Linked DNA regions of Kluyveromyces lactis. The protein of the gene in region 2 interacts with the protein of the main gene of each other region in a pairwise test. Links are inferred from orthologs where the notes say so. Each region holds a gene or a part of one and is shown on either strand. Other genes may lie near its edges.

Region 1 (4,257 bases), on a different chromosome or scaffold from region 2:
CTCTAGAGAAAAAACTACCATTGATATTGATCCTGAACTTCTGGAAGGTGTTGACGAGTTTGTGTTACGCAACGATTTGATTGATTGCCATGTAGATATCTGTTCTCCTCATGTCCCTGCTATTTTCCAAGAGAATTTCGATTACCAATTCTTGAGAAGAGATTTTGTTAGAGGTGTGCTTTCTAGTGATTTGTTGAAGAAACATATCTACGGGTACATTACCGACGAATACACCACTAGAGCAGAAAGTTGGCAAACGTATGATGCTATCTCGCAAGATTTTATTGCTAGATGGTGTTACCCATTGGTTCTTAATGCCAACCTTTTAAAGGGCCAAACTTATTCATACGAAAGCCAACACATTTATAAGGAAAAAGACGTGGTATTAGCGCAGTCCTGTAAGATAAAGAAAAACACGGCCATCGGCTCAGGATCCAAGATTGGAGAAGGTACAGTCATTGAAAATAGTGTTGTTGGTAGAAATTGTAAAATTGGCTCAAACATCAGAATCAAAAACAGTTACATTTGGGACAATGTTGTCATTGATGATAACACTACAATTGAGCACTCTTTAGTTGCTTCAGATGTTAAATTAGGATCAAACGTCACCTTGAATGATGGTTCCATTATCGGATTCAATGTAGTGATTGACGATAATGTTACAATCCCAGTTGGAACCAAGATTTCAGCGGTTCCAGTACAGAGGAACACAGCTCAATTCTTAGATACAGCACATAATCTTTCTTCCAGCGATGAGGACGAAGAAGGAAGCACATTCACCAGAAATTCATCTTCTTTATCAATCAGTAATTCCGATGAAGTTGCCGATGCGAAGATTAAACTATCTAAGCAGTTGGTTGGGCCAAACGGGAGAGGCGTACTATACGAAAGTGATGATGAGGATGAAGATGAAGATGGATCGACCGAAAAGGGTATTGCGAACACATTAACGTACAGAGACGATGACATTTATTTATCGGATACTTCCATATCATCCATCACTCAAAAACATAGAAAGAGGAGAACCATGTCGATGACTAGTATCTATACTGATTACGAAGGAGAAGAAGACGAAGAAGAAGATTTCGAAAAAGAAGCCATCGCAACAGTTGAAAGAGCTATAGAGAACAACCACGATTTAGACACATCAATGCTTGAACTAAACACTTTGAGAATGAGTATGAACGTCACTTATCATGAAGTCAGGAATGCTTCTGTTATCGCTATATTCAGAAGAGTTTACCACTTTGTAGCCACACAAACACTAGGTCCAAAGGACGCTGTCACTAAAGTCTTACAACAATGGGGTCCTGTGTTTAAGAGACAAGCATTTGATAGTGATGAGTTCATTGATCTAATGAATATCATTCTGGATCGTGTGCTAGATCAGAAATTCGATAAACCAGATTTCATTCTATTCCATGTATATAATGTCTTGTATGATTTGGATATCTTAGAGGAAGATGTCATTTACAAATGGTGGGACTCTGTAAGCGGTGATTCAAAATACAGCGAAGTTACTGCTCTACTGGCCAAATGGGTGGACTGGCTAAAGACTGCAGATGAAGAATCATCTGATGAAGAAGACAGTGACGAAGACGAATAAGTCAATAACGTCATAAATGCCCTTTGAATTTTCATGGTTCCTCCGAAGTTCAAGATTGGTCAATATCAATCAATATAATGTAGCATGTAGCATTTCGAGTAAACGTGAGATAACCATATGCAAAGTAATCTATAGACAAATATACGTACGCATTTCAAGGCTAGTGTCCTCACTACCGGACTGCCAACCGCCTATGCGGTCTTCCTGTATTCTATATGGGAGAGTTTGACTGAAAATAATTCAAGTCACGTTACAACGTTACCCTAACTTCCTTATCTATTAACATATTCCCATTTCAAAATTGAAATAACAGAACAGGAGGACGAAGATATGTATGTGATGAAGGAGAGTAGTCAGACAAATTGGATGTTAGACATAGCACAGTCAGCCGGAAGTAACACCGTAAAGGCCTGCAGTGATAGTAGTATAAAAGCAAGGAAGAAAGGAATTTAAAACATGCAAACTCTTAAGTGTGTTGTTATAGGTGATGGTGCTGTCGGTAAGACGTGTCTTCTAATTTCATACACAACTAACCAGTTTCCAGCCGACTACGTTCCAACCGTTTTCGACAATTATGCTGTTACGGTGATGATTGGCGATGAGCCATACACGCTAGGTCTTTTCGATACAGCTGGTCAAGAAGATTATGATAGATTAAGACCGTTATCATACCCATCAACAGACGTGTTCTTGGTTTGTTTCAGTGTTATATCTCCTCCTTCTTTTGAGAACGTAAAAGAAAAATGGTTCCCAGAAGTACATCATCATTGTCCTGGTGTTCCATGTTTGATTGTGGGTACTCAGATAGATTTAAGAGATGATAAAGTGATTATTGAAAAACTACAGAGACAAAGGCTTCGTCCTATCACTCCAGAGCAAGGTGAAAGGTTAGCCAGAGAGCTTAGAGCCGTAAAATATGTTGAATGTTCGGCTCTTACCCAGCGTGGTTTGAAAAACGTTTTCGACGAAGCTATTGTTGCTGCTCTGGAACCTCCAGTCATTAAAAAGAGTAAAAAATGTATTATATTGTGAAAAGTGATCGGCCTTGTATTTTTTTTTTTTATTACCAGTACATGTATCAGGTAAGAAGTTTCTCACTCAAGGATGAGCGTTCTTAACAATCTTCCCGTTCACCATCAAGTCCAGTTTTATATTTATAGATGATTGTGAGATAGAGAGTGTGTTTCCAAGTTTTTGCAGGTTCAAAAGAGAAAAAAAGCTCTACCCCCCATCTCCAGAAAAAGCGTTACATTTCACTAAACCAACATCCTAAAACTACCAAAACTACTTCATAACTCTTTGACATTTCTATAGACAAACTGAAGTACCAAACGTTTGGTTCTTTGTTTGAATTCTAAACCGTCTAAAATACGAAACTGGTTCGAAGCGAAAAACTAAACACTATGGAGTATCGCTTTGTTTAAGTATAAAACCTCAACGAAATTACTCTTCGTGTGTGGATTTCATTATCTCATGATATATTTAACCTCTCAGGCTTCTAATTGACTTTTAGCTCAATAGTTTATATAAATATAAAAACATTTTCCATTTAACATATTGCTTTAATTATACTATTTGGTCTTGCAAAGTACTTTACACATCCAAAAATACAGAACTTCGGAACGTCTTATAAAATCATATTTAAACCATCAACCATATTTTAAATAACATTTAGATTCCATGCAATATTTTGGATGATGAAATGGATGTTACTTCGCATTAACCTGGGTTACCTGTAAGATAGAACTGTCTTATAACAAAACAATAAAAATCTCGGTTTTAATGGCATACGAACTCAAAATATATAATAATAACAATCTCTTCCAATGAATACACCCCCCAATTCTAACTCTTTGAAGCGCCAGCGGTAAAGACTTTCCATGCAGTGATGAATATGCAACATCTTCACTTATTCACGTGACTTTTTTTTGTTTCCTTCTATTCATTCACTACCCTCCAAGAACCGAAATTCTAAGTTCGTGAAAAACCTTCAATACAAAATACTAATATTGTAACAACAAGCGATTTTGAAAAGTGTAATTGAAGTGAGCGCTTTGAGAAAAGTATCATCAGATCCACTACGACCGTTAATAACACTGAACGATGGCTCAGGTATATGGGAATTCACGTTCCGATACGTTATTTCTAGGTGGTGAGAAAATTTCTGGCGATGACATCCGTAACCAGAACGTTTTAGCCTCTTTAGCAGTGGCAAATGTCGTTAAATCATCTTTGGGGCCTGTTGGTTTAGATAAGATGTTAGTCGATGACATTGGTGACTTCACCGTTACTAACGATGGTGCTACCATTCTCGCGCTTTTGGATGTTCAGCACCCAGCTGGTAAGATTTTGGTTGATTTGGCACAACAGCAAGATCGTGAAATTGGTGATGGTACCACCAGTGTTGTCATCATTGCTTCTGAGCTATTGAAGAAAGCTAATGATTTGGTCAAGAACAAAATCCATCCAACTACTATTATCACTGGTTACAGGGTTGCTCTTAGAGAGGCAATTCGTTACATTGATGAAGTTCTTTCTGTTCCAGTGGACACTCTAGGTAAAGATACAATGCTAAACATTGCAAAGACAAGTATGTCTTCCAAGATTATCGGTTCAGATTCCGAGTTTTTCAGTAACATGGTCGTTGATGC
Region 2 (5,789 bases):
AAGTATCAACTGACCAGTCAGAGGACCATAGTGAGGGTGAGAGTACCGATGAGGCCGATGAAGTAGAGTCATCTTCAAAGGATATCCCTAAGATCCCTCTTCATGAGTCCTTGGCTCAAATACTGTACCAGTTGCAGCAAACGGTAACTGCACAGCATCATATTTCTATTTGGCCCTTTTTAAGAGTGATAGAGGGTATTTTTAAGGCCAAGATTTCTACCGGCCAAAATGACGCTCATGAATTGACACAAGTTGTTTTGCAGACGTTGGAGAACGAAAACTTGGCTCTACAAAAATTTGTCAAGAATCACTCGTTGAATGTCATCATACCGACTTTCCCGGTACACGGATCGCTGGCTGATAGTTTATTCTGTTTAAGCTGTGGTGAATCTTCAAAAGTAAACATTCATGAGTTCACGATGTATTCTTTACCAGTACCACAGCTAATAAACGCGGATTTGGCTCAAATGATTTCTGATAATCAAACAGATCAAATCAGCGGGTATTCGTGTTTATGTTGTAAGTTGAACGCGATTATCGCAAATGAAAAGAATAGAAATTACCAAAACAATTCTGATGAAGAAAACCAGATTTTGAAGGAGTTGGAAGAGTTATTGCCCAAAGCATTTATTAACGATGATTTGGCTAGGAACTTAAGTACTTACATTAACTCTTACGAGAAAGGTGGTATCAAGACGTCAGAAATCAAATCCACCATTGTCAAGAAAACTGTGGTTGTTGATTCGCCAGATGTTTTGATTCTTCACTTGTCGCGTTCGGTTTTCGACGGGATGGGATATCAAAAGAACACCTGCAATGTTTCTTTCGAAGAAGAATTGGTAGTCAACCGCCAAGTTATTGAAAACAATAAATGTGTTGGCATCAGAAAGGATTCATATAAGTTAAGGTCGATGTTGAGGCATCAAGGTTCTCATTCTACCGGTCACTATGAATGTTTCAGACACAAACCAGAGTTTATGAAAGACATTGATACACATCAAGTCATTAGCAAGACACCAATGGTGGACTTCGGTATTGCGTCGAATAAACTTGCAGCTGAAATCTGGAATCAGGCCGTTCTGAACTCCTCTAACAAATCCGATTCTTGTTCAATCGGCTCGGAAGATTCAATCTCCTCTAACGTGCCATTCAGATCTGTTTTCCTGGACTCACCAAACTCTGCGATTGTTACTGATGATGATTACGTTATTGGAAGCTCAGAGTTCTCTAACGACGCAGATAATAAGGGCCAAAACAACAACAGTGGTTCTGGAGTTTCAAGGACGCCATCCACTTTGAAAAGAGTCACTGGTTTCCTTTCGAGAAAGAGTTCTGTCTCGGCAGCACCGGATAATAACAATACTAGCAATATACTACCTGAAATTAGCAGTTCACCCATGGCTTCATCATCTTCAGAACATAGAAACCGCGCAAGATTTAACAGTGTCTCTTCTATGACGACTGACCGCAACGCTTCGATATTATCTAGTAATGCTAGTATCGACTCTTACAGTACAGATCAAGTTACTAATACAAGTGCTACCGAAGTGGAAACTGAAACAGATTATGACGGTATTTCAATGAATGTCAACAAGAAGACAAAGAAAAGAAGATTAAAGAAATTGAAAAGTGTGGTGAAATACCCATGGTGGAGAATATCTGATACTAAAGTTAAAGAATATAAAACTTCAGATATTTTATCAGAAACTAAATTCGTTTATATGTTGTACTATGAGAGGGTACCAGTAGTCTAACCTGGTCAGTAAGCAAATACTGGAACCAACATAACAACAACCAAAAGAATAAGAAAAAATAGAAACATAGACATATTTTACTAAATTGCACAAGCGGCACCTCACCGCTCCGAATCATTCATCCTTTGTCAATTAACTCATCGATTTATGATGACCACAGGCCATGTATTACTCGATTAATTAGTTTTAGCACTTTTACGTTAACCTTATATACATATACTGTACGATCTTTAAATTTCAGATCATGTGACCTCTAAAACCCTTCTAGAATGAAATTCTTCCTTTCCTTCTGCGGGTTGATGAAGCGAGATGAAAAAGGATTGACATGAATAAAGAGACGAGTTTCAGGAATTCATAATAACAGAGTTGATAGACGAAAGCTGCAACACAAAGGCAAAGGCAGTCAATAGTGGGAAAATGTTGAAGGTATGTAATAATGCGCGTGGTATTGTCTTATGTTTGGCAATTTTGACGTAGTAGCGGAGGATTTCTGACTTTGTTAGAGGCTGGAAAATTTTTCTTTACTGAAAGAAGGTAACCACATGAATATTGCAACGTGAAGGCAAAATACTAACATATACTATGATCATTGGTTGGTGATTAAATTGAACCAATTATCTAATTTCTGGAAATTTTTGGAATAGAATTTCAAATTGAAGAAAGACAGTGTGAAACAGCGCATAACTTCTGCGGATATTTCCGGACCTACTCAAAGTCCAGGGAGCTCAGTGCAAAACGTAAAGACCATTCCTATCAGGCAATTATCTACATCATCACAGCTATCTTCGGGGTTTACAAGTGGAAAATCAAAAGATATCTCGTCTCCAGAAAAAGTAATCAAAGCGTTATACAATTACCAGGCACAATCAGCCGGTGAATTATCATTCAATAAGGGAGACTTTTTCCATGTTCAGCAAGAGGAGAACGATTGGTATGAGGCCTCCAATCCGGCGGACGGCAAGAGAGGCATGGTTCCTAAGAATTATTTCGAGATTTTTGGCAGAACAAGGCCAAATTCGCATGCATCACCGGTGAAAAGTATAAATAGAAATGGATCTGTCGGTAGTAATCAGTTATTACAGCATCATCAGCAGCAACAGCAGCAACAGCAGCAACAACAACCTTCCAATATGGGAACTCTTTATGCAATTGTACTGTATGATTTTCAAGCAGAAAAGGCAGATGAGTTAACAGCCTATGCCGGAGAAAACTTGTTCATTTGTGCTCATCACGATTTTGAATGGTTTATCGCTAAGCCCATTGGCAGGTTGGGTGGTCCCGGTCTAGTTCCTGTTGGTTTTGTGACTATTATAGATATAGCTACTGGTTATGCCACGGGAAATGATGTAAAAAGCGATATCGAATCAGTGAATCTACCCTCGGTCCAAGAATGGAAGATCAATATCGCCCGTTACAAGGCTAGCAATATCACACTAGGTTCAGTGGAACAGCAGGGTCAGTCGTACGTGCAACACCGATCACAATCCAGGCAAAATTCACAAAACCGTCAACCACACCCCAGCACGCAGCACTCGAGCGCTGCCAATACAACCTATCCTGCTGATGCCGTTTTCCTTACCTACGCTGCAGTCGAGACATTTTTCCTACAGGACGATAAGTATTGGTTCCAAGTCTCGTGTCAGTTATCCAACAACACCACGCGTATTTTGAAGCGTTATTATGAAGATTTCTATGATTTACAAGTAAAGCTACTCGATATCTTCCCTGCAGAAGGGGGTAAACTAAGAGACACTAATGGTCAGTGGACGAAACGTATAATGCCATATATACCGGGTCCAGTTCCGTATGTGACAGATACCATTTCAAAAAAGAGAAAAGATGACCTAAATATATACGTGAAGGATTTGATTTCCCTACCGCCGCATATATCACAATCACATCTGGTCAAGGGTTTGTTTGCCGTTAAAAATAATGGTTTTGACCGTGAGATTAGTAATGATGAAACTGTGGAGCTTGACGTAAAAGGTAGGGCTGATGATTCAACTCTGACTAACCAAGAACTACAACTTCCAGAGGCAATGAAGAGACTGTCTCTGATTAATAGCGCTTCCAATGCCAGTGCTAAAGTCAAATCAAGGCCGCCTAGTGGTTTCGCTCCGAGAATAACTGATGAAAAGCCTGTCAAGATCAAATTTTATTACAAAGATGACATATTCGCCTTGATGCTGCATCCTACCATTACTTTTGAAGAATTGTGCAGTAAAATAGCACCTAGAATTGACGCAGATTCTTTTAAGTTGTACATCAAAAACGGAGATGATATTGGCACTCAAGTCACTACTGATGCAGAAGTACCGGTTCTAATTCAAGAGAAACGCAAGATCTTTGTCGATGACAGCTAAGTTATTTGTTGCAAAATTTTATCGTCATAATAAATAATACAAAAAGAACCCCAAGGTGGTCAAAATTCAATTTCTATCCACTGATGGCTTTCATGCTTATCATAATGATGTACTGTACATCGCATTGTAATACTTCAACATAATTTTGACATTAACACTCTTATATTCTTTCACATTAATTCAGTTCAACAAGTAAAAATCAGTTGTTTACATACTCTCTCTATAGGTGTTAATACTTCTATCAAAATGATAATAATACTTCACAAACATGTCTAAGGACTATTCATCCAGCTCTATGTCCATGTCTGCATCCGCGTACGGATCTGTATCGAGATCCATGTCAATGTCCATGTCCGCATTGTGATCAAACTCATCATTTCTATGCATGAGATTCGGTGCCAGATCAACTCTGGAATCTGCTGCAGTCTCAACATTCATATCTACTTCATCTAATTTTGGACTATGCTGTTGGTACCATTTTACCCACAAGCTTGCTACCACAGATCGCCAGTCATACCATTTTATTACCTGCGAGTTAAACTGTCGTACATGATCGAATATTCTTTCATATATCTTATCATTTTTGTTTGAACCACTCAATTCGCGTTCAACTACATCCCACATCCTTTTATTTACAACTGCTTTGAATGAGTTCAACCCTGAATCAATTTTATGTTTCTTTATCCCATCGGTTCCCCTAGGAGCCAACGATAGGTTTTCGAAATCATATATTAGCCGTTGTTTCTTATAGTTATCGATTCCTATCGGGTCAGGACTCCTTGACCTCTTCATCTTGAAGCCTGATGACATTGTATAGCTAATACCTTGCTCATTCGCAGTGAACTATTCTAAGCAGATGATCTGTTCGCTGCTACTTTTGTAGGTGTTGTTTCGTTTGTCCTAATTTATCTTATGGCCAACCGAGAACTTTCTGGAAGCTTAAAATGAAGATCATTAGAAATGTTTGTAAATTCACCCGTTAAGAAAGTTTCGTAGATGAAGCTGATACTACAGGTACTGGTTATCTTTTTCTTGTTAGATATCTCTTGATCGAGCCTTCAATATTGCCTTTAATATGCTTTTTTTCTTTTGTTTCTTCTAAGAGATATGTATTTGATCTTCTTCATAATTAAGGGTTTCGAATGTCTTTTTCATACTGAAACATTTAGTTCACAGCAACTTGGTTTACTTCAACAACGTTATAAGAAAAAGTTTATGATTTCTATCACTGCAAGCTTGTGAATCATCTTTGGACCTGCTCATGTATGGCAATTGAGCTATGTTCCATACTCCCCCATTTTCTAATGCTTCTTTCGATACTAAACAATCCATCACTGAATCTTATCGCGATAGTTTGAATTCGACGATTTCCAATAATAGCGATGCAAAGAAACCGAATGTCATGCTTCAAACTGCCAGCACATCGGCACCTCCATCACCAGAACTACCAATAGAATCTTCAGAATCCAATGATGATTTGATTCCCATTGCTAGTATACCTGATGAATTGATGAAATTGATTGATTTGTTCATTGATGATTTGAAACAGCCTAAATATTCCAGGCCTTTAATGATTACACAATTATCTCAGATATTCCAAAGGTTTTATGAGAGATTTGATAGATCTTGCCAACAACATTTTAATGCATTAGCCTCGCCTGGAAGTGTGAAT

The links.
Region 1: the proteins of BEM1 (region 2) and CDC42 interact in a two-hybrid assay, tested with the Schizosaccharomyces pombe proteins (3 studies listed by BioGRID). The link is inferred for Kluyveromyces lactis from reciprocal best matches to the Schizosaccharomyces pombe genes scd2 and cdc42.

What each region holds. Positions count from the first base shown.
Region 1 is NC_006037.1:380,624-384,880, reverse strand, and holds CDC42 (Rho family GTPase CDC42), read left to right. Parts: upstream 1-2,062; coding exon 2,063-2,638; downstream 2,639-4,257. Other genes in the region: GCD6 (translation initiation factor eIF2B catalytic subunit epsilon), read left to right, coding at 1-1,606; chaperonin-containing T-complex alpha subunit TCP1, read left to right, coding at 3,710-4,257. UniProt on the Schizosaccharomyces pombe protein: Involved in development of cell polarity during the cell division cycle.
Region 2 is NC_006041.1:2,075,370-2,081,158, reverse strand, and holds BEM1 (phosphatidylinositol-3-phosphate-binding protein BEM1), read left to right. Parts: upstream 1-2,171; coding exon 2,172-2,180; intron 2,181-2,398; coding exon 2,399-4,117; downstream 4,118-5,789. Other genes in the region: putative ubiquitin-specific protease UBP16, read left to right, coding at 1-1,754; KLLA0_E23343g (uncharacterized protein), read right to left, coding at 4,397-4,927; guanine nucleotide exchange factor MUK1, read left to right, coding at 5,397-5,789. UniProt on the Schizosaccharomyces pombe protein: Required for mating and morphogenesis. Interacts directly with scd1 and with cdc42. May bridge and facilitate scd1 and cdc42 interactions.